Tamandua tetradactyla: one gene and its partners. The protein of the gene in region 3 interacts with the protein of the main gene of each other region in a pairwise test. Links are inferred from orthologs where the notes say so. Each region holds a gene or a part of one and is shown on either strand. Other genes may lie near its edges.

Region 1 (7,547 bases), on a different chromosome or scaffold from region 3:
ATTATCAACAAAACAGAAAATGACAAGTGCTGGAGAGGATGCGGTGAAAGAGGCACACTTATCCACTGTTGGTGGGAAAGTCAAATGGTGCAACCACTGTGGAAGGCAGTTTGGCGGTTCCTCAAAAAGCTGAATATAGAATTGCCATACGACCCAGCAATACCATTGCTGGGAATCTACTCAAAGGAATTAAGGGCAAAAACTCAAACGGACATTTGCACACCAATGTTTATAGCAGCGTTATTTACAATTGCAAAGAGATGGAAACAGCGAAAATGTCCATCAACAGACGAGTGGCTAAACAAACTGTGGTATACACATACGATGGAATATTATGCAGCTTTAAGGCAGGATAAACTTATGAAGCATGTAATAACATGGATGGACCTAGAGAACATTATGCTGAGTGAGTCTAGCCAAAAACTAAAAGACAAATACTGTATGGTCCCAATGATGTGAATCGACACTCGAGAATAAACTTGGAATATGTCATTGGTAACAGAGTTCAGCAGGAGTTAGAAACAGGGTAAGATAATGGGTAATTGGAGCTGATGGGATACAGACTGTGCAATAGGACTAGATACAAAAACTCAAAAATGGACAGCACAATAATACCTAATTGTAAAGTAATCATGTTAAAACACTGAATGAAGCTGCATCCGAGCTATAGGTTTTTGTTTTGTTTTGTTTTGTTTTGTTTTGTTCTTACTATTATTACTTTTATTTTTTTTCTCTATATTAACATTCTGTATCTTTTTCGGTTATATTGCTAGTTCTTCTAAACCGATGCAAATGTACTAAGAAATGATGATCATGCATCTATGTGATGATGTTAAGAATTAGTGATTGCATATGCAGAATGGTATAATTTCTAAAAAAAAAAAAAAAAAAAGGACAGCACAATACTACCTAATTGTAATGTAATTATGTTAAAACACTGAATGAAGCTGCATCTGAGCTATAGTTGTTTTTTTTCTTATATATTTTTGTATTTTTTATTTTTATTTTTTCTCTATATTATCATTTTATTTCTTTTTCTGTTGTCTTGCTATTTTTCTAAATCGATGCATATGTACTAAGAAATGATGATCATACATCTATGTGATGATATTAAGAATTACTGATTGCATATGTAGAATGGAATGATTTCTAAATGTTGTGTTAATTTTTTTTAATTAATAAAAAAATAATAATGCAATCAAGCTGTATAATTAAAAAACTTATACTTATTAATCCCCCCAAATGAAACTTATTAATCTACGTAAATGAAAAGGTGGGGGTTTCCTGAATAAACAAAGTGATCCCTCTTTTAAATGGAAAAAATAAAAAATAAAATAAATAAATAAACAATCATGAAAGAGTATAGCCCATGGAGTAAAAATATATGAGTGCATACTAACATGGAAAAAAAAACTAAATAAATAGATAAGGGAAGGAGAAAGGGAAGTTTTTCCTTACAATAAAATTCCAACTAATAAATGTGGAAGGAATGATGGAAATAGAAAACCACCACTTCGCAAATACCACATTTCAGGCAAGACTCACCTAAGGATGCTAACACCAGTTGTAGAAATGATATTTACAGGTCTCAACGTATCCCTGCAAACAAACACGAGACACTTCTTATTTGCAAGGTTAAAATAGTTACTTTACAATTGAGAAACCTGGCAGACACCACTTTTATCAAGACAGTAAAGGGACAACCCTGCATCACCAGCCTGAAGGATACAACTTCAATTTTGAGGTTTTTCTTTCCAAAAATACAGAACTTTACATTAACCCTGGGGAAACATCAGACAAACTCCATTTGCAAGGCATTCGATAAAATACCTGGCTAGAACCCTTCAAAAACGTCAAGGTCATTGTTAGGTCGGGGGAATACGGGAGGGCTCAATGGCTGGACTCATGAAGTCACTTCGGAACCGGAGGTGAACTGTTACAACAAAGATCTTTACGCAGCAAACATCGGCTCACTCATTGCTCCACGGACATCTGACCGCCCGCTGCTCAGCCCACTAGCATAATACTCCTTAGTTTAATGTGCCGCCCCTTTCATGTCATCACCTAACCCCTGCCCTTAAAAACTGCACTCGCCAAAGCCGTGCGCGGACTCACCTCACTCCAACTTGGGTTCGGTGAGCTCTGCCCGAGAGCGCAGCCAATAAACCACGCTCACTTAAAATCATTTCGTCTACCTTCCTTTCTCTCAAAAACCTCATATCTTAAAACCTTTCAGTCATGAAAGAAAGCCCAAGGAACTGACCCAGATTAAAGAACAACAACAAAAGGAGGCAGCGGAATGGGGTGCAGGATCCCGGACCGTTACTGCACTCTGCCAATGCTGATGTCCGGGTTTGTTTTGGGGAACCTGGTAAAAGGGACAGGCGAGTTCTCTGTACTGTTTTTGCACCTTTAAAAAACCAAACAAACGAAAAAATCAACCCGGGGAGCCGGAGCGCCGAGGTTCGAATCCCTCCTTCCTGGCTGGGGGCCGCGGGGAGGTGTCCCTTCTCGGAGCCCGGCTCATCAGGCCCCAGGCCCAGCCATGGAAGCAGAGCCCGAGAGAGGGGCCTGGCGCCCCGGGAGGGTCGTGCCCGGTCGTCCCGCCTCACCGCGTCAACGCAGGGAGGAGTGCCGGCGGTGCCGCGGGGAGAAAGACGGCGAGGCGCCTCGCGCGGGCCAAGCCCGTCCCAGCAGTTTGAGAACGATCACCCCCATTCGGCGGGTGACGGCAAGTCCTCGGGTTCGGCCCGAGGGGATCAAGCGCTGAGGCGCCAACGCCGGATTTCCACGGAAAGTCACGAGCCGCGAGGACCGGCCGGGGCCGAGAGGGGGGCGGGTCGGCGCCCTGCGCCTCTCCCCACCGCGCCCTCCCAAGTTTCCCGCCCGGGGTCCCGCGACCCGGGTCCTACCCGGAATGCCAGCCCCGAGCGGCTCCCAGCGTCGCCGCGTCGCCATAGCAATCCCGTCGGCCCGCCCAGCCCAGGGCGCGCTCGGTACAGCGCTCGGGTCCCGCCGAGGGGAAACTTAGGTCCGGGCCCCGGGTTCCGGCGCCCTCCCGCGCGCAGGCGCCGACGAGTCCGTGGGGGAGCGGGGCGCAGTCGACCAGGAGGGGGCCTATGGGGAGGGGCCGAACCCAACCCTGCCGGGTTCTTCGGGCCGTGGAACCTCCGACACTTCGCTGCAGGCCCCGGCCTCTCCACCTACCCCTGGGCGAGCCCGGGAAGGAGCTCCGGGGCTCGGGGGCTCGGCCGCCGGGAGAGCCCGGGGGCTACACTCGCTCCCTCCGCCAGGTCCCCCGGCGGCGGCTCTCCTAACCCCAAGGGGAGCTTATGAGCTTTCCGAGCCGGGTGGGGTGCACAAGGACTGCTCATGGGTGGAAGGAGGGCTGCACGCGGGGGGTCCTGGGGGAAGGAGGGCTGCACGGGGCGGGGGTCCTGGGGGAAGGAGGGCTGCACGGGGCGGGGGTCCTGGGGGAAGGAGGGCTGCACACGTGGGGTCCTGAGGAAGGAGGGCTGCACGCGGGGGGGGCCTGGGGGAAGGAGGGCTGCACGGGTGGGGGCCTGGGGAAGGAGGGTTGCACGCGTGGGGTCCTGGGGGAAGGAGGGCTGCACGCGGGGTGTCCTGGGGGAAGGAGAGCTGCACGCGTGGGGTCCTGGGGGAAGGAGGGGTGCACGGGGTGGGGGCCTGGGGAAGGAGGACTGCACGGGGTGGGGGCCTGGGGAAGGAGGACTGCACGGGGCTGCACGCGGGGGGGGGGGGGCCTGGGGGAAGGAGGGCTGCACGGGTGGGGGCCTGGGGAAGGAGGGCTGCACGCGGTGGGGGGCCTGGGGGAAGGAGGGCTGCACGGGTGGGGGCCTGGGGGAAGGAGGGCTGCACGCGGGGGGGACCTGGGGGAAGGAGGGCTGCACACGGGGGCGGCCTGGGGGAAGGAGGGCTGTACCTGGGGCTCCTGGAGGGCGTAAGAGCTGCACCTAAGACGGGGGGCGGGACTGCTCCTGTGAAGGGGCGTTTACCTTGGGGTACCAGGCACTGCGCTAGGGGCGGGTGGCTTCTGTGGCCGGTAGGGGATTGTCTTGGCCTCGTCGGAGAAGCGGGACTGGGTCCAAGGGGACTGCGGGAACCCGACCCTCTCGCTGCTCCCGCCTGGGGCAGCGGCCCGCAGGCTCCCGGGAGGGCCCCTTCCTCTGGGCTTCCCCTCGAGAAGCTCAGCTCTCCCCCACCGCAGGATTCATTCCCCCGCAGCTCGACTCCTTCGCCTGCCTGGCGGTGGGGTTTCTCAAAAGGGGCGCGCGTTTTCTTCTTCGGTCTATGATAGGCAGACCGCGGCGCAGCCAGGACGGAAGCCTGCGCTTGCCGTCTGGGTCCGCACTCCCGCAGGGGTGCTGGTGGGGACTCCGGGGGGCTGCACCTCTCCCCTTTCCCGTCTCCCCTGCCCCACCACCATTGCTGCACCTAAACCACTCGCTACCCGCCCAAGGCCCTGCACCTGGGGGCCCTGCCCGAGCCTTGCCTCTGCCTCCTCCTTCTCTGTCCCCAGCCCTCAGGCCTCTCTCCTCTTGCCCTCGGTTCTCCACTGCCCGCCACCCCTCCCGTTGCCTACTCTGTCTCCTCAGCATGAGGATGGGGGGAGGTGTTTTTTGACTCCTTAGGACTCGGAATTCTGTGACAATAGGGCACACGCCCTTGACTGACTCTCCCTGCTGCCCCTGCTCTCCAGAAAACAGGGCTGGGGTTGAACAACTAAAGGCCAAGTATTTGGTCTGGCTCTCGGATAAGACATAGGGCAAAGAATGCCTACATGGCCTGGGGAGGAGGGGGAGGCTGCCTACTAGGGTGCCAGGGTGCAGCCCCATGCCCATCCTCCAGGGCGAAGATGGCCCCCAGCCTGGTTTTGGGGACGGAGACTGCTGGGCGCTGGGTGCTGGGGAGTGGATCACACTGGCCCAGCATGGGGTTGGGGCATAAACAGGTCCCCAGGTGCAGGGGAGAGCAGGCAGCATCCCTGTGCGCCCCTGTGTGATGGGGTGCCTGACAAGCCACAACATAGGGAAACATGCTGGCTGTGGCACGCTCGCACCATCAGCCTCGTGGCAAAGGCCTGAGATGCTGCAGGGACCAAGAAGGAGCCCAAGGGTTCAGCAGGTCCCCAGTTGTGGAGTTGGCAGTGAGTTCTCTTCCCAGCCTGAAGTGGGATGGAGGCCTGGGCCTAGCCACCCCTTGGGAAATTGCAGGGGTGGGGGAGGGTCTAAGACAAGCCTGGACATCCTAAATATCCCCAGCAGAAGTCCAAGGAGGCCCCTCCCAGCATCTCCCCAGGAGGCAACAGGGAGCAGAGGGTGCTAGTCCTGAGTTGGGAAATTATCAGGGCGGGCAGGAGCTCAGGGATAGCCTAGGGCCTGCTTTGCCCAGACCCCCCACTTGGGCTCCCCTGCAGCTGGGCCAGCCTCTGCAGAGCCCCCATCAGCGGAAGATACAAAGAGATTGGCCTGGGGCTGAGTAGAGGTGTGGGTCTAGGGGAAACCCCGGCCCCTCTAGGCCCCAGACGAATGGGGAAGGGCAGGCAGCGGTGCCACCCCCACCGCCAGGTTGCAGGGAGCTGGCTCTCGGGTGCTTTTGGCTGGACCTCATGGCCAGTAGCCCCTTGTTCCACTCCCTGGGCCCCGCCCACCCACATCAGCTCTGCCAGGGCCCCGAGTCCCTGCACTTCTGGCTGCTCAGACCTCACCACCCTGAGCACCCTCCCAGGACCAAGCCCTACTGCACCTCCCAGGGTCCCCCAGCTCCCCATCAGGGCCCTGCAGCCCTGATTTCTCACCTCTCTCTCTGGGGTTTCTATAGTATCTCTCTTGCCAGTCACTCATGCACCCCAAGATCCCCTTAAATACCAACTGGAGGATGACGCCTCCTGCCTGGGACCCCCAGCCTCTGGGGACGTGCCACCCTCCCATACTGTCTCCATCCCAGAGTGGACAGCTCTTTTTTAGGGGGGGGGTGTCTTTGAGCCCCCATAGCTTGAAGATGGTCCTTCCTCTGAGCCCTGTGGCACCCCCACCCCATTTCCCTATCCACACCCCGCAGCTAGGTAGCCATTTAGTCCCTGGCCGGAGCTTCCTGTTCATCTCCTCCACCTGGTTCACAGGTGCCCCCCGGGCTATGCCTGAGGGTGGCGGCTTCAGAGCCCCTCTCAGCAAGAAGGAACCTGTGCCAGGGGCTAAGGTGGGGAATGGGTGAGGGTGGGGCTGCTGATGGGCATGGACTTATTTTGGGGATAATGGAAATGTTCTAAAATTGCGTGATAGTTGTACAATGCCATGAATACACTAAAACCCATCCAACTGTGCAGTTTAAATGGGCAACTTGTACGGCTGTGAGAAGTACATCATGAAGCTGTTATTAGAAAAACGGACCCATCTCCCACCTCAACAGCCCCAAGGCCTCAGCCCTCCACCAGCCGAGGAGGGGTACAAGAACAGGGAGTGTCCGCACAACCTCTGCAGGCGGGCGTGGGGCGCAGAGGGGTTCCCGATTCTGCCAAGAGGAGCACACCGGCCAAAGGGGGGGGGGGGCGCGTGGCTTTCTTCCACTTTTCTGAAATTTCCAATCCTTCTACAATAGCCATCTGGAAAAGAGGACTATCCTGAGCCTCCCTCCACAGCTGCAGGAAAGCTAAGGGTCAGGGCAGCCTGGGGCTCCCTTTGGGGAAGAAGCCAGGTCAGGGGCACAGCCTGCGATGGCCCTCCTGTGAGATCCCTGGGAGAGGAGGCTGCGGCCGGCTGGGGTGGGCTCACCCTGAGGTGAGGGAGGGGGCCCTGCCTGGCCCTGGCAGGTTAAATTCTTGCAAAGGTGGGTTTGGTTTGTGAAAATTCAGCAGTTTGTGCACATGGACGACAGACCTCCCCACAGCCATCCTCTGTGCTGTGTTCTAGAACTTGCCCCCCTTCCAGGTCAGAGAGGTCAGGGAATGGGCCGAGGTTGCACAGCCAGGGCAGAGCTGGTCCTGCCTGCACAGGGCCGACACTGCCAGTGGCAGACTGGTTCCGCCAGCAGGGAAGGGCAGGAGGAGGGCAGAGAGGCCGTCACCAGGGGCTGGGTTAGGGGCTGGGGCTGTCCCAGCATCCAGCCTGACCCCGAGGGACCCGGGAAGGGCAGCTTGGATTAACCGGGGAGAGGAGCACAGGTGCTGCGAGGGCCCCACGGCCCGGTTCTCCCCGAGTTTGGCTGCTGAGGGGTCCAGCCTCCAGGCTACATGGGGGTCCCAGAGGGTCCGGGCTTGGGGGACAAGGGCTGAGAGCGGGGCCCAGCCAGACGCCTGATCTCAGGGCCTGAGGACACGCCCTGTGCTGGGCCATGGGGACGGGAGGTGAGAGGGTGGCCTGCTGCCACCTGTGTCTGGGTTTCTGCTCCTGGGGTGCCTCCAGCAGGAGGGGCAGTGGGTGCTGACTAGGAGGCAAGTCCCCGGGGGTCCAGGGAAGGGGGACCCCAAAGGGGAGGTCCATGGGGAGAGCCCTCCCACCCCGAGAGCCGCCATGGCCCCTGCCGCCCAG
Region 2 (7,214 bases), on a different chromosome or scaffold from region 3:
CAAATCAATTATTTCAATTAAGAGAAATGGGGGTGGGGAACTGTTATATTAATCATTGTATTGTCTAAGGTTTGTATTTATAAATGTATACAAAACATTTGGAATTTTTATATTCAAGCAGCAGAACTAAGAAAATATTACCTCTAATATTCACAACGACCCTGCAAATATAATCCCTATTATACAAATGAGGAAACTGAAGATCGTAAAAGTTGAGCCCAAGGTCCACATGCAGAAGTCATAGAACCAGGATTTAAACAAGAATATGAGCCCCAGTTCTTCCCACTTCACCTTTCTAGACCATGCTTAGTAGATATATATTTCCTGTAAGGGAGGAATTTTCATCATGGCTATGATTCCTTCAGTATATAATATGTCATAATTTCAAACAGAAAAACAAATAATGTATCTGGATAATGTTAAAATAGTATGGAAAACAAAAATCTTAAATTAATTCTTTGCAGATCTTGAACAAGTAGCTTAAACTCTCTGTGCCAAAACATCACAAATAAAGTAGAGGTAATACCTTTGAGAATTGTTATGAGGCTGAAGTGGATTAAAATATATAAAACACTTAGTACAATGTCTGTTATATAATAAAAATTCCATAAATGTTAGCTATTGCTATTGAGACAAGAAATCACCAGATGGCCATATTTTATACCACCCAGCCAGAACTGGGCCCCTAACTCAAAGGCAGTCAATCCTACACTGGCCTGCATCCATGACATGATCTGCTAGGAAAAGATGATATATGTTAATCAAATTCTCTTTTTGGAGTCTGAATTACAAAACAAAGATTGAGACAGTTAATAGTAGTTCAGACGCAAAATGAGCAAGCTTCTACCCTCATCAATTTCCTCTCATCAAGGTCACCAATGACCTCTTTGTTGCTAAATCTAATTTTTCAGGCTACATTTTAAATCACTCAGGAGCATTCAAAATGTTGGATATTCCATTTATCTTGAAATATTTTCTTGGTTGTTCTTTTACCTCTCAGGGTGTACCTTCTTAGTGTCTTTGGGAGGCGTTTAAATATTGCAGCCACTCAACACTTCATCCCAGGCCTCTGACATTCTCCCTCTGGGTGATTTCATCTACACCCATGGCTTGTAATCACCTCTATGCCAAAATCAATAGCTTAGATTTTTCTTGAAAACTCAACTGCCTTTTCAATCTCTCCACTTATTTAAATGTCTCAAAAATACCTCAAACTCCATTTGTCCAAAACCAAACTCTTGCTTTTCCTTCTCAAACTAGCCTACATCTCCTTCCAGTGCTCTCTGTCTTAATAATGGCACACCAACTGTCAAGTTACACAAATTAAAAAATTAGAAGTAATCCTTGATACTTCCTTCTCCCTCATCCCCATCTTTCAATAAATTCTATTATCTCCTCAATATTTCTCAATTCCTTCTCTCCTTCTCTACTACTACCTTCCAACAGGTCTACCAATATCCATTCTTGCATCCTCTGTGTTCACATCATGATCAGTTATTTTTTTTAAATAATTCTAACCATGCCATGCTCCCACAAAAAAGCCCATGACAGAAAGTGATCATGCAGGCATTGAGAGATAATAGTCCCTTGAGCCATTTCTGATGGCTTCATACAGTTTCCAGTTACAATCCTTATATAGCCTTACCATAACCAGCCCCCTACCCAAACCTCCAGGACTTGCGTAATTCAAGTGGGTCATTTTGCAACCACAATGCCAAATCAGGACACATATACAAGATTTGTATACCACTGCGACCACCACTATCACATATACTCCTAAAGCCACTGCTTTTCAACACATACACAAATGACATCCCTCTGTACTGAGGCTCTAGTTCTTCAGTCCCAATCCCCTTTTGGAAACAAACTCCCTCTCAAATTCACAGGACTGTGAAAAAACATTCCTCTCTTCTACAACCCTGTAAGACACATTAGGTCCCTTTATCTCCAAACCCAGCCATACCTACAAGGATCCCCTCAGGAATAGGATCCTGAATATCCCTATCAGTCTCCCTACCTCCTTCAAAACTTTCTTCCACCCACAAAGATGTGGTCATGCATTCCTTTTGTGAATCTGAATGACCTTCAAGATCACTGATCCTATATACACTCATACTGAGGCTTCAGCTTTCTTAGGTAGATTCCCAAAGGACTGGGGCTCTGGGGCTCTCCCAAGTCTCTTGTCCTTTTAAGACCCCATACCGGGACTTGCACATTTTCTCTGTGACCAGGGGAGATTCGAAGGACACTACACCTACCCAACACACACATACTCGGGGTTGAGTGAACCCCATTCCATGACACTGCCTTACATTAAGGTAACAAGCCCACCACATACACCTGCCTCCTCAGAATCAGAGCCCCCCTCCCCCAAAGTATACCCCATTAGGGATCCCTTCACACTCCCACAGGCTTGTGTAGACCCTCTCCATGAGGTAGCCTACCCCTGGAACTCCTCCCACCACAGGGACCCCTCACGATGGGGCTTTGTGCCTTCCCTAGGGTTCCTGACCTTTCTTAGCTCATACTCCCTCGGAAGTGTGTGTGTGTGTGTGTGTGTGTGTGTGTGTGTGTGTGTGTGTGTGTGTGTGTGTGTGAGCACGCACGCAGAAACACAAACACCTTCTCCGCCACCGGGACCCCTGAGTCTCTGCCCATCACTCAGAAAGGTATATGCCTCCCTTGACCCCTGACCTCCAGGTCACAGGCCTACTGCACTAAGGGTCCTTCTCAAGAATAGGGCCCTGCCTGAGTCCCCTGTCCCCTCAGGCCCAAGACAGCCATGCTGCCTCAGACATCCCTTGCTCTACCGCCCGCACAGACCTGCCTCGGGCGCCGTTAGGCTCCTCTCCGCCATTTTTGTTGTCCCTCCGCCTCAGACCCACGCGAAGACCGTAGGGCAGGGGGGAGCGGGCGGTGGGCTCAGCGGGCTGACAGGAGCTCTCTTAGGAAGACGCGGCGCGACGGTTGCCAGGGCAACGGCGGCAGGCTAGTCAGAGGCCCGCGAGCTGCTGGAAGTGAGGGGGCGGGCTGGGAGGGAGCGTGCGTACCAAGGCCCCGCCCCCGCGGCGCGAGTCTCCTTCCAGGACCAGGCGCCGCTCCTGCTAGGACTCTGCTAAGCGTCTACCCCGCAAGGGAGCCACCGTGTCCCAGCGTCTGAGCATGCTCAACTGCCTCTGGGGCGTCGGGACCGGGTCTGCTCGATGGCATTTTGTATGGTTTTCTGTGGGTTTTACAGAACTTTGGGAGCTGGGGACAGGTTTTTATTATTTTAAAACGTTTCTCCCCCAGGCATGCCTGGCCCTTATCAAGGTGCTGGGTGACTTTCGTCTTTAACTGAAATGCACTGAGTCACTACCTCTATACCCCTCTATGCTCAACACGCCCAGGCCCACAGAGTTCCTTCTCTTGCACCGCTCTCCAGCAGCACCAGCCCCCAATTCTAGAAAAGGCTTCTCTTTTTCTTGGTATAGCTAGAATACCCTTTCCCACCTTCCCGTGGCAAACTGCCATTATCCTCTTAAGACAGTTATGCCAAGCTCTAGCATAGGCCTTTTCTGACCTACTCTGTCCTCCCACAGTCACTGTGCATTACTCTGTCCTAGAGTTTACCATGCTATATGCATTATTCTCTCTTCTTCACAAAGTAGGTCCTCAGTAAATATTTCCTGTATGAAAAATGACTCCTTCAGTTCATTCCGGCACATTCCTGTCAGTTTTATTGAGCACCTAATTTTGCTACAAGTACCTTGCTAGGTAGACTCTTCTTAAGGAGCTCACAATGGAAAAGAGATAATGGCGCTGATGGAGGTTAACTAGCATTTAAAGTGTTATGGGATCGTAGACATGGAACTCTAAGCTGTAGAGGGTCAGGGAAAGGAGAGGAATTGTCAGTGAAGACTTCACAGAGAAATGGATACACTAACAGGTGTCAGCCAGGCAAAGGGGAGAAAGTGTGCCAAGCAGAGGGAGAAGCATGACCTGAGACACAGAAGTGTGGAAGTAAGGAACATCAGCAGCAAAACTACAAAACGTTCAATGTGGCTATCATACAGATCACATAGGCCAGTGTTGTCTCTAAAGAATTTGCCATTTAGTTAGGTAGTATCTTCATTTGGGTTCCTCAAAAGCAAAGCCTAAGTCAAGGACTTCGGTTCTGGTAATTTGTTTAGAAGATGTGATAGTTAGGACCTGGTGTCGAGTTGTCCAAGTGATGATGCCCAGTCATCTGGTCAGGCAAGCACTGGCCTAACCATTGTGTAAGGATATTTTGTGGCTGGTTGATAAACTAGAGGGCTGGTCTATTAAATCATCAGTCAGTTGATTACATGTGTGGTGATTACATCTGTGATCAACTAAGGCGTATCTCCCACCAATGAGATAATCCAATCAAATGAGGATTTTTTTTTTTTTTTTTTAAGACAGAAGAGATACCTTTTCACCATTTCTTCATCAGTGAGCCTCGCCTGTGGAGTTTGTCCAGACCCTTCACTGGAGCTGCCAGCATCACAGCCTGCCCTACGGATTTTGGACTCATCCATTCCCACGGTTGCATGAGACACCTTTATAAATCTCATATTTACAGGTATCTTCTCTTGGTTCTGTTTCTCTAGAGAACCCTGACTGATAAAGCTTGAAACTAGGAGTGGTTTTTGGAAAGAAAATCTTAAAAATGGATTTTTACAATTGTATTTATACTCAGGTTAGACTCAGAGGCACTATTGACTCTGTTTCCAATAATCAAGATGGCAGTCCATTGGGTGAATTGGTAAGAGAGATATGCAAAATATCACCATTAGATTCTGCTAATTGTATGCTTATATGAGCTAAGACTCTGGGTGAGAGTGTTTTTAACATCTTTATGTAGTTTTGTGGAATTAAAAGGTGTAATGATATTGGCTGTTTGTTGTTAGATATGCTAGATACAGTGATGAGGGAAAGGGATGAGCTTGAAGGATTCAAATTTGCAAATTAAGCACCATATGAATGATGTAAAAGTTTCCATGTGTATCCTGAAAGAAAATTTTTTTCCTATGGTCACACACTTGAGATCTCTGCAAACCAAATACAGAGCTTCTTTGTGCAAGTAGCAGATTATCATGTAAGCTTAAAATCTCAACATTGCAGGGTGTCTGCTGTTAAAGTAAGGACTTTAACTGGAAAAGAATGGGATCCTGAAATGTGGATGGGAATATATGGTTTGATAATGATGGCAATGGGGAGACGGAATCCCTGAAATCTGCTAAGCTTTTGCTAGATAGACCTGTAATGGACTACCCTGAGGGAAAAGCTTGCTGACCTTTACGCTGCCCTGAGGAAAACAACTTCCTGATCTCCAGTCTGCCCAGAGGAGTCTTCCATCTGACCTCCACCTAATGAGATTAACCCTTCAGTGCCTGCTAACCCTGAAACCACCTCCCCTGGGGAAACAGCCCTCACTCCTCTGTCTGGAGCAACTAATCCTACTCACCAGATGGAACAGCAATGGAATGCCTTATCCACAGTCGTGGTATTTCACACAGCATTGCTTCTAATCATGGAACCCACTTCACAGCAAATGAAGTGCAGGAATGGGCTTGTGCTCATGGAATTCTCTGGTCTTACCATGTTCGCCATCATCCAGAGTTACCTGGGTTGATAGAATTGTGGAATGACTCTTTGAAGACCCCATTATGGGCCAACTATGTGGCAATACCTTGCAGGGCTTGGGCAGTGTTCTTCAGTAGGCTGTGTACTCTGAATCAGCATCAATTCTGTGGTGCTGTTTCTCCCATAGCCAGAATTCATGGGTCAAGGAATCCAGGGGAGGAAATAGGAGTGGCACTACTCACGATCACCCCTAGTGATCCACTAGAAAAATTTTTGTTTCATGTCCCTGAAACCTTAAGCTCTGCTGATCTACAGGTCTTAGTTCCTAAAGGAGGAGTGCTCCTACCAGGAGGCATAACAATGATTCCATTGAACTGAAAGTTAAGACTGCCTCTGGCCACATTGGGTTTCTCATGCCACTGAATCAACAGGCACAAAAAAGTATTACTGATCTGTCTGAAGTGATTGACCCTGACTATCCAGGGGAAATAGGACTGCAGCTACACAACGGAAGTAAAGAAGAGTTTTCCTGGAATACAGGAGATCCCTAGGGCGTCTCTTAGTAGTACCATGCCCTGTGATTAAAGTCAATGGAAAACTGCAACAACCCAATCCAGGAAGTTCTACCAATGGCCCAGAAACTTCAGGAATGAAGATTTGGGTCAACCCACCTGGTAAAGAACCGCAACTAGCTGAAGTGCTTGCTGTGGGTAAAGGGAACAGGGAATGGATAGTATAAAATGGTAGTGATAAATATGAACCACAACCACATGACCAGTTATAGAAACGAGGACTATGATTTTATGAATATTTCCTCCCTATTTTGCTATGAGTATGTTTGCATTTGTACATAAGCAAATACCTTGTTTTCCTCTTATCATAGGACATAAGTTGTACTGTTCATTTATAGTATTTAAGCCATAGGAAATGAAGTTTAAGTTACCTAAGGACTTGCAGCCTATTCTGGGGAGACATAGTGCATTTCCGTTTATGCGAAGGACAGTCAAGTATTGTTAGATGAAATGTGTCTGTTATTGTGTTCTATTTGGAAATTAAGCGTGTTTCAAGATGACGTACATAGCTGCCAGGTTGACAAGGGGTGGACTGTGATGGTTAGGTTCAGGTGTCAACTTGGCTGAGTAGTGATGCCCAGTGGTCTGGTCAGGCAAGCACTGGCCTGACCATTACTGTAAAGATATTTCATGGCTAGTTGATAAACCAGAAGGCTGTTATATTAAATCATCAGCCAGTTTATTTTCTGGGGCTGATTACATCTGTGATCAACTAAAGTGTGTCTCCCACCAATGAGATAATCCAAACAGTTGAAGACCCTTTTAAGGGAGAAGAGAAACCTTTTCACTGCTTCTTTAGTCAGCGGACCTCTCCTGTGGAGTTTGTCTAGACCCTTCATTGGAAGCACCAGTTTCACAGCCTGTCCTGTGGGTTTTAGACTCTTCCATTCCCACAGTTGCATGAGATACCTTTATAAATTTCATATTTACAGATCTCTCTTGTTGGTTCTGTTTCACTAGAGAACCCTGACTAATGAAGAAGGTAACCCCAGGAAATAAAAGTGAAGTGGGGAGAGTGTAAGACAGAAAGGAAAAAGCCCAGAAAGTCTGTGT
Region 3 (7,027 bases):
GTAATCATGTTAAAACACTGAATGAAGCTGCATCTGAGCTATAGGGTTTTTTTTGTTTGTTTTTTACTATTATTACTACTTTTATTTCTTTTCTCTAATTAACATTTTATATCTTTTTCTGTTGTGTTTCTAGTTCCTCTAAACCGATGCAAATGTATTAAGAAACGATAAAAAAAAAAACAAAACTCTAGGAAACAGAAATAACAGAAGAGAGCGCTTTGTGACTCTAGAAAAGCTACTTAAATAAACTTTCTTCTAAAGGTTCAGGAAAATTAATTTCTCATAAAAGTGAGCAACAGAAAAGTACTGATGTTTATTCCACATAAAGCTACAAGAAAAAAGAGAAGAGAAAAACAATGAATGTTCACTAAAGAGGACTACTCAAAAAACAAAAAACAAAAAACCCCACAGAATGGTAGAATGCTCACCTCCATGCGGGAGACCAGAGTTCGATTCCCAGACCATGCACCCAAAAATTAAAAATTAAAAAAAAACAATGAAAGGACATCAAGAATACGATACAAAACTTTAAAGACTAGCATAAATCACAATTAGGAAAATTTAGAAATGAAATGACAGAATTTTTAAAAGAATTAGGAAGAAAAACTCCACTTTAGAAATAAAAACTGAATTAGAACATGCACAAGAGCAAATAAATATGACAAACAATGACTTAAGGGAAAAAAAGGAATTTTCTTAAAAAAAGAGGAATTTCTTAAAATTTTATCAAAAAGAAATGGAGATAAAAAAGACTGGTGAGAAAAAACAAAATTTAAAAAGAGAAAAAACTAAAAAAGCAAATAAAAAGATTGATAAAGAAGTCACAAATATTAAAAGACAAGTAAAGAACAATAAACAGAGATACCTAAACACATACTAAAAACTAATTAGAAAAAACTTTCCTGAGATAAAAAAGATCTGAAACTGCAGATTGTGCTCCCTCTGGCAGTACACACACTAAGGATTGGAATGACGAGAAGATTAGGAAGGCACCTGCGCACAGATGACATGCAAATTTGTGAAGCCGTTTCTATTTTTTAATAGGGTGGTATACAGGAACCTTGAATTTGGTGCATGACTCTTCTGTAAATCCTCAACTTCTCTGAACAAACAAAACCTTACATATTGAAAGGGCACTATGCTTCTAAGAATATGGATTCAGAATGATCCACAGCAAGATGTAGCCCAGAAAAACCACTGGAATTTAAAGAAAAAGTCCTTTGGGCACAAAGGTCAAAGGAGCATGTGATTTTAAAAAGATTAGATTATCATCAGTTGCCTAGACAGCAATGGGTGGCACAGCCAGATGCAGACTCACCACATAGGTCCAGGCCCACCTCCACCCCTTCCCAATTGAGTGACTCTGGGCAAATGACTCCCCCTGTCAAAAAAAAAAAAAAAGGAAAAGAAAAAGCTCTCTTCTTGCCAGTAACCTGGCCAGGACTGATTACAACCCTGACCTTCCCTGCATGCCCCTCATATCCTATAGCCATGGGACCCCAAGCACCAAGAGCTTTACCTGCAGTTCTCCTTGAATCGGCACTTCCCCTCCAGGAAAAACGGGCAGGGCTTCAGGGCCTTGTGCGTGGGGTAGAGATAGAGTACCCGGACAGCTGTGGAGCCGTCCTCTGTCTCCTCTGTGCCCACAATCATGGCGTTGTGATACTCCAAGGTGCCCCACGGACTGTAGTAGGGGGCGTTCACTTTTGTCCCACTTAACTCTTCCTCGTTGTCACTGTCCTTCCCCTCTTCCTCCTCTTGCCCAAGTCTTTTGGGTTCTGGCCCTGCCTCTCTTTTAGGAACAGTCTCCAATTCTGCCTCTGGGGCTGCTGGCACCTCTACTACCTCAGCAACAGCCTTCTGGAAAGCCATGTATTCAGCATCTTCCTGGGATGGGTGCACTTGATCCAGTGTGGCCAACAGCTTGCTCTTCCTGACAGACACCAGACTGGCCTCAGTTAGTTCAATCAGCTCTTTCAGGTCCCCTTGCAGCTGGCGCAAGTCTGCCTGCTCAGATGAATCCAGGTCAGCTCCCAGGGCCAGCTCCACCTGCTGCAGCTGGGCACGATAGGTCTGAAGAGCCGCCTCCAGGCTCTCCTCATCCATCCTATAGAAGGCTGGTTGGTTTTGGGTTTAGGGCAGGTGCGGGTCCCTGAGTCCTCGAGAGGAAGCTGCAGAAGCCAGAGTTGCAAGAAATCGAAGGCAGCTGAGCCTCAGGAGTCTGAGGCCCTCATTCTAAAGCAAACCCTGAAGGCTGCGGTGTACTGGACATGGGCTGTTAACCATGTTCTGTGCTGAAAGCTTTACACCGATGCCATAAAATACAACAGCCTGCCAAAAGGTGTACGGTGCGTCCTCCCTTTTCAAAGATGAGAACACAGGCTCAGAAAGCTTAAGGAACCCGCCCAAGGCATAGCTGGCCGGTGAAGACCTGGGGCCGGGCTCCGTAGCCGCTGTCCTCCCCAGTCCAGGTCTGCCTTTCCCTCTAAAGGCCTACCGACCTTTTGCTGTCACGCTTGATCCGGTTTCTCCGCGTGGTGTTTTGCATCTACTCTCAGCCCTGTGCTCAGGGCTCTCCCAAGCGGGGTGACCGGAGAATCTAAAAGCCTTTTCCCCTCGGGCCCGCCCCTGCCTACGCCCCCGACCCGACCCAGTCCTCCGACTCCCTCCGCCCAGTCCTCCTCAGAGTCGCCCCCCCATCCCTTGGGCTCTTTTCGGGCCCGACTCCATTCTCTGCCCAGACCCCTCAGGCTCCTACCACCCACCGCCGCTCGACCTCGGAACCGGGACCGGGACCGGACCCGGGCCCAGGCCCCGGCCGCTCCACCCGGGAAAAGCCCCCACCTTCTCTTCTAGGTCCGTTCTCCCCGCTGTTATCCAGCCGCCGCCATAAAGAGCCCCGCCGGCCTCACCGGCTACAGCCGGCAGCCCTGCTTCCGCCCCCGCAGCCGAACAGCACTTCCTCCCGAGCGCCGAGGCCGCCGGAAGTGCCCGGCGCGGGGGTTGCCGGGTGCGGCGCGCGGGGGCCGCCGGGGCTCTACGCGGCTCCGCCCTTCCTCTGGCGGCCGGGCCTCGTCCCAGCAGGCGCCGCGCGGGGTTAGGCTCGGGGTCAGCGCGCGTAGGTCCCGGCGGCAGCCGCAGCGGGTCCAAGGCCCGGGGCGGAGGCAGGTGGGCCAGGGACTGTATCGCCGCCGCCTGGAGCCCTCCTGAGGGGCCGCGGCCGCCCTCTGCCCCGAGCGGCGCGGCGCGGACGTGGGGGGTGAGGTCGCGGGAGGGGGCGCCCGCCCAAGGCGAGGGTGTCGCTCGTGGGAGCGTCTGTTAGGCTGTTTGCCCAAGAGTTTGGAAACTCGGTGTCCAAAGTGCGGGACTACCGGGAGACGGACTGTGGGCCTGGGGGGATCTCCTCCGCAGAAGTCTGCCCCCGGCCGGGCCCATCCCCTCTGCCCACCGCCACCTCTAGGTCCACCTCGGGTGGGCTGAGATCGCAGCCTCTCTTGTCGCTGCAAAGCCACCCCTGGAGCTTAGAGAATGGGGAGCCCCACCTCAAAGCCTTCGGTGGCTCCTGCTGCTTAGTGAATCCCTCCTTCTCACACATGCTCAATTTTAAGAACGATCTGGCTGTCCAGACTTGGATATCCAGTTTGGGCAAGTGTGTCCCTGTTCCCTGTGCACGAAGAGCTGAGCACAAGTGGAGCCTTAAGGGGAGGCGGGGCTCAGTGAGCAAGGGGAAGGGGGTGGGGTGAGGATGCAGGGGGGCCTGGAACCGAGTTCACAGTCACTGCTGTGAGTGGAATGGGAGTGGGAGGCAGGAGTGAAGAAGTAGGGGGTGGTCCAGGAAAAGCTGGTGGTGGTGGAGATGGAGAGAAGCCAGACAACTGGGAGAGATTATGGAGGCAGAGCCAGTGGGACTTAGAAATAAAGGGAGTTGGGGTGGGGAATCAGGAGCCACCCTTAAGATCCTGGTTGGAGCTGTCAGCAGGACAAATGGGTACCATTTACCAAGGTGGGGAAACCCGGGGGAGTAAGGAACGGAACGGGTCAAACCACCCCCATGTCTTACTGACTTATCTCTTGGGGTGTCCCAGGGGCAGAATGTATACGCTGCTTTCGGGCCTGTACAAGTACATGTTTCAGAAGGATGAGTACTGCATCCTGATCCTGGGCCTGGACAATGCTGGAAAGACGGTACACGCTTGTTTCTCTTTCCCGTCTCCCCCAGTGTTTCTTCCTTTGGGTTTCTACCTTCAGCTCTACATTCACCATCCAAATGGAATCCAAACCCTGTTAACGCTCACAGGAAGGTCACCCCTAATCTAAGAGTGGAGGTGCTGGCTTGTTTTTTTGAGGAAAGTTTCGAGAAGAGATAGTTGGGAAACGGGCTTGGCAAACTGCTCAGGTCCTTCATCTAACGCAGATCTGTCCTCCCTCCTCAGACCTTTCTGGAGCAGTCAAAAACGCGGTTTAACAAGAACTACAAAGGAATGAGTTTATCCAAGATCACAACCACTGTGGGCCTGAACAGTAAGCCCTTAGGGTATGGGTTTGAGTTGCTGGGGGCGCCAGGATGACCATAGCCGGGCTGGGCCCCCGTCAGGTAGCCCGTGGGGATTTGCTCTGTCAGCAGGGGAGCCAGGATGTGGGGCTTCCAGCGTCAAGATCACGAGCTTCATTCTTTCTCCTCTCCCAGTCGGCACTGTGGACGTGGGAAAAGCTCGTCTCATGTTCTGGGACCTGGGGGGACAGGAAGAACTGCAGTCTCTATGGGACAAGGTAAGGCTTTCTTCAGGGACTCAGGGGCACTCCTGACTGCCCCGCACGCCTTTTCTCTGAAGACAGTATCCATCGTTCCTTTCCTTCCCTCAGGAAGGCCCAGGACCCAGCCTTCTTTCTTTTTTCCCCCCAAAATTGAGGAAGGCCTGGGTTTCTTTCGGTTTAGAGATCTTGTGGCCAATCACCACAGGAAGCAGACAGCAGATGCCTAGGGCCCCATGAGGGTTGCAAAGCCTGTCGGGTGCTGAACTGCAGGGCCTGGGCTCTGGGTGTCCTCCAGTGGGCTCCAGCTCCCTCTCCTGTGTCCCCAGCCTAGGTCACCAGGGCCTGTTCCCCGGGGGTCTTCCCCATACAGGCACTGCCTCTTCCTTTGGCATGGGTTTTGGGCATTTCAAGTCCCACAGTGCAGGACTGAATCCACAAGGGGTGTAGAATCTTTCTTCAGATTTGCCTGGGGTCCAGCAGTGAGCAGGACAGATGCAGCCTCTTCCCTCAGTGGTCCCTTCCCCTCAGGTTGGTGGGGTTGGGGCAGATATGCCTAGTGCTCGTGTGGGGAGCTAAGGCCCAGGCACTGATTTCTGGTTTGACCCCCAGTGCCTGGCACACAGTCACCTTTGCCTGGGCTCCTTTAGAGGTGCCCCCTCCTGCCAGGAGAGCAGGGCAGCAGCTACCGCCTGGGCAGAGGGCACCGCTGCACTGTGGCCCCATGCATTGGACAGAGGCAGACGCCAGCCAAGGGCCTACCTTGTCTGAGCACCAGAGGCACATGGGGCTTATTTCCCCATACCACGCGGGTTCTCACTTAGGTGGAAGCAGGGTGTAGGGTGTGTATACTGGATGAACATCCCAGAAGGGCCAGGGAGATTGCTCAGCAGGAGCTTGGGGTTGAGAATTGCTCCTCATGGTTGACCCAGGTCAGGCCAGGCCGGCCAGGCCTTACATCACCACCTGGACCAGGCCCGGGAAGGGGGGACCTGAGCAAGGTTGCTCTTCGCAGCCTAAGCAGAGCCCAGAGGAGCCAACGACTAGGCTGTCCGCCACACATTTCCCACAGCTGGGCAGCAACGGGACAGCTCAGAAACTGCCAAAGGTCACTGTGCTCCATGCGGCTTTGCCCCTCCCCCACCTCCCGCTGGCCTCGCTTGCTCACCTGGTCTCATAGCTGGACCTGGGCAGCTGATGGGGTCCTGCTCCTGGTTACCAAGCCCCCCTCCTCTGCTTACAGTCTCAGAGAACCAAGTGGAACCCCCATATACCAACCACTCCCATGGGGCACAGCAGCCCTGCCTGCTGCCGCCAGTCAGGGTCAGTTACCATAGCCAGTAGCCTTGCTCCAAGGGCTGTGTAGCTACCTGAGGTGGTGACCCTCCAGCACCCTGGCACACTAGCCATCTTCCTTAAAGGCAGGAAGTTGTCTGCTTGGGCTGGCACAGCCCAGCTCTGGAGTCTCAGCGACCTGTATGGTGGTTTTCTTACAGGTTTGCCAAAAACTGCAAGCATCTGTTGCCACCACAGATGCCCTAGAATTATGGGGTCTGCCGGCTCCCAGGTCTTGCACAGCAAGGTGGCCTATGCATCCCCAGCAGGGCTTGCTTTGCTTCTGGTGGTCTTTTGTGGTTTCCTGTATGTTGGCTAGAGAAGTGACCTTGTGTAGGCCTTTCCTTGAGGCCACCAGATCCTGGGAGGCCCGTCAGGTGTTGAGTTTCTTTCTGGATTGGAAGGTAGAAGATGCCACCAGCTGCCATTTCCTTTGGCGTGTGGGCCTTGGCTTGTTAAACTCCTGCATCTTGTAGCATGGTGGTCAGCAGGCAGGGTGTGCGAGGTGTAGGGTTGGCGTGGGCGCTGAGGGGTCTGCAGGTGTCCCGATCTCTGGGCATTCATGGCTGGCCAGGGCCTGTCTGCCAGGGTTTGCCACTCCTGATGTTCTTTGGGTTGGAATAAAGCGGATGCCCCTGCCAGCAGCTGCACCACATGCTCTGTGCACATGCTGCACCTAGCTAGGGTCTGTTCCTCTTAATTCTCTTGTACAGAGTTGGGCTAGTGCAGTGAGTGGAGGTGTGAGGGCCACTGTCACTATATCTTTTAGGTCAGTGGTTCTCGAGAGGAGACAGTGGAGAGGTCAGGGATGCTGCTGGACTGGTCAGCTGTTCCCAGCAGTGTTGCCCCTCCCAGGTGTGGCTGGCGTTGAGGGCAAGGAATCTGCAGGTCCCCAGGGAGAGAGCCCAGCCTAGTGGGCTACTGGAGGCCCTGACTGCTC

What was found. The genes of interacting proteins can lie anywhere in the genome.
Region 1: the proteins of ZGPAT (region 3) and CCDC57 interact in binary tests that used the Homo sapiens proteins (3 or more experiments, as listed by UniProt). The two-hybrid records come from large-scale screens. The link is inferred for Tamandua tetradactyla from reciprocal best matches to the Homo sapiens genes ZGPAT and CCDC57.
Region 2: the proteins of ZGPAT (region 3) and BEN domain-containing protein 5 interact in binary tests that used the Homo sapiens proteins (3 or more experiments, as listed by UniProt). The two-hybrid records come from large-scale screens. The link is inferred for Tamandua tetradactyla from reciprocal best matches to the Homo sapiens genes ZGPAT and BEND5.

What each region holds. Positions count from the first base shown.
Region 1 is NC_135332.1:74,526,330-74,533,876, forward strand, and holds the start of CCDC57 (coiled-coil domain-containing protein 57), read right to left. Parts: upstream 3,015-7,547; 5' UTR 2,959-3,014; coding exon 2,913-2,958; intron 1-2,912. UniProt on the Homo sapiens protein: Pleiotropic regulator of centriole duplication, mitosis, and ciliogenesis. Critical interface between centrosome and microtubule-mediated cellular processes. Centriole duplication protein required for recruitment of CEP63, CEP152, and PLK4 to the centrosome.
Region 2 is NC_135328.1:172,554,232-172,561,445, reverse strand, and holds the start of BEN domain-containing protein 5, read right to left. Parts: upstream 3,015-7,214; 5' UTR 2,858-3,014; coding exon 2,824-2,857; intron 1-2,823. UniProt on the Homo sapiens protein: Acts as a transcriptional repressor.
Region 3 is NC_135327.1:61,163,107-61,170,133, reverse strand, and holds the start of ZGPAT (zinc finger CCCH-type with G patch domain-containing protein), read right to left. Parts: upstream 3,005-7,027; 5' UTR 2,845-3,004; intron 2,172-2,844; 5' UTR 2,107-2,171; coding exon 1,520-2,106; intron 1,039-1,519; exon of another isoform or gene 934-1,038; intron 1-933. Other genes in the region: ARFRP1 (ADP-ribosylation factor-related protein 1), read left to right, coding at 4,093-4,185, 4,434-4,521, 4,688-4,770. UniProt on the Homo sapiens protein: Transcription repressor that specifically binds the 5'-GGAG[GA]A[GA]A-3' consensus sequence. Represses transcription by recruiting the chromatin multiprotein complex NuRD to target promoters.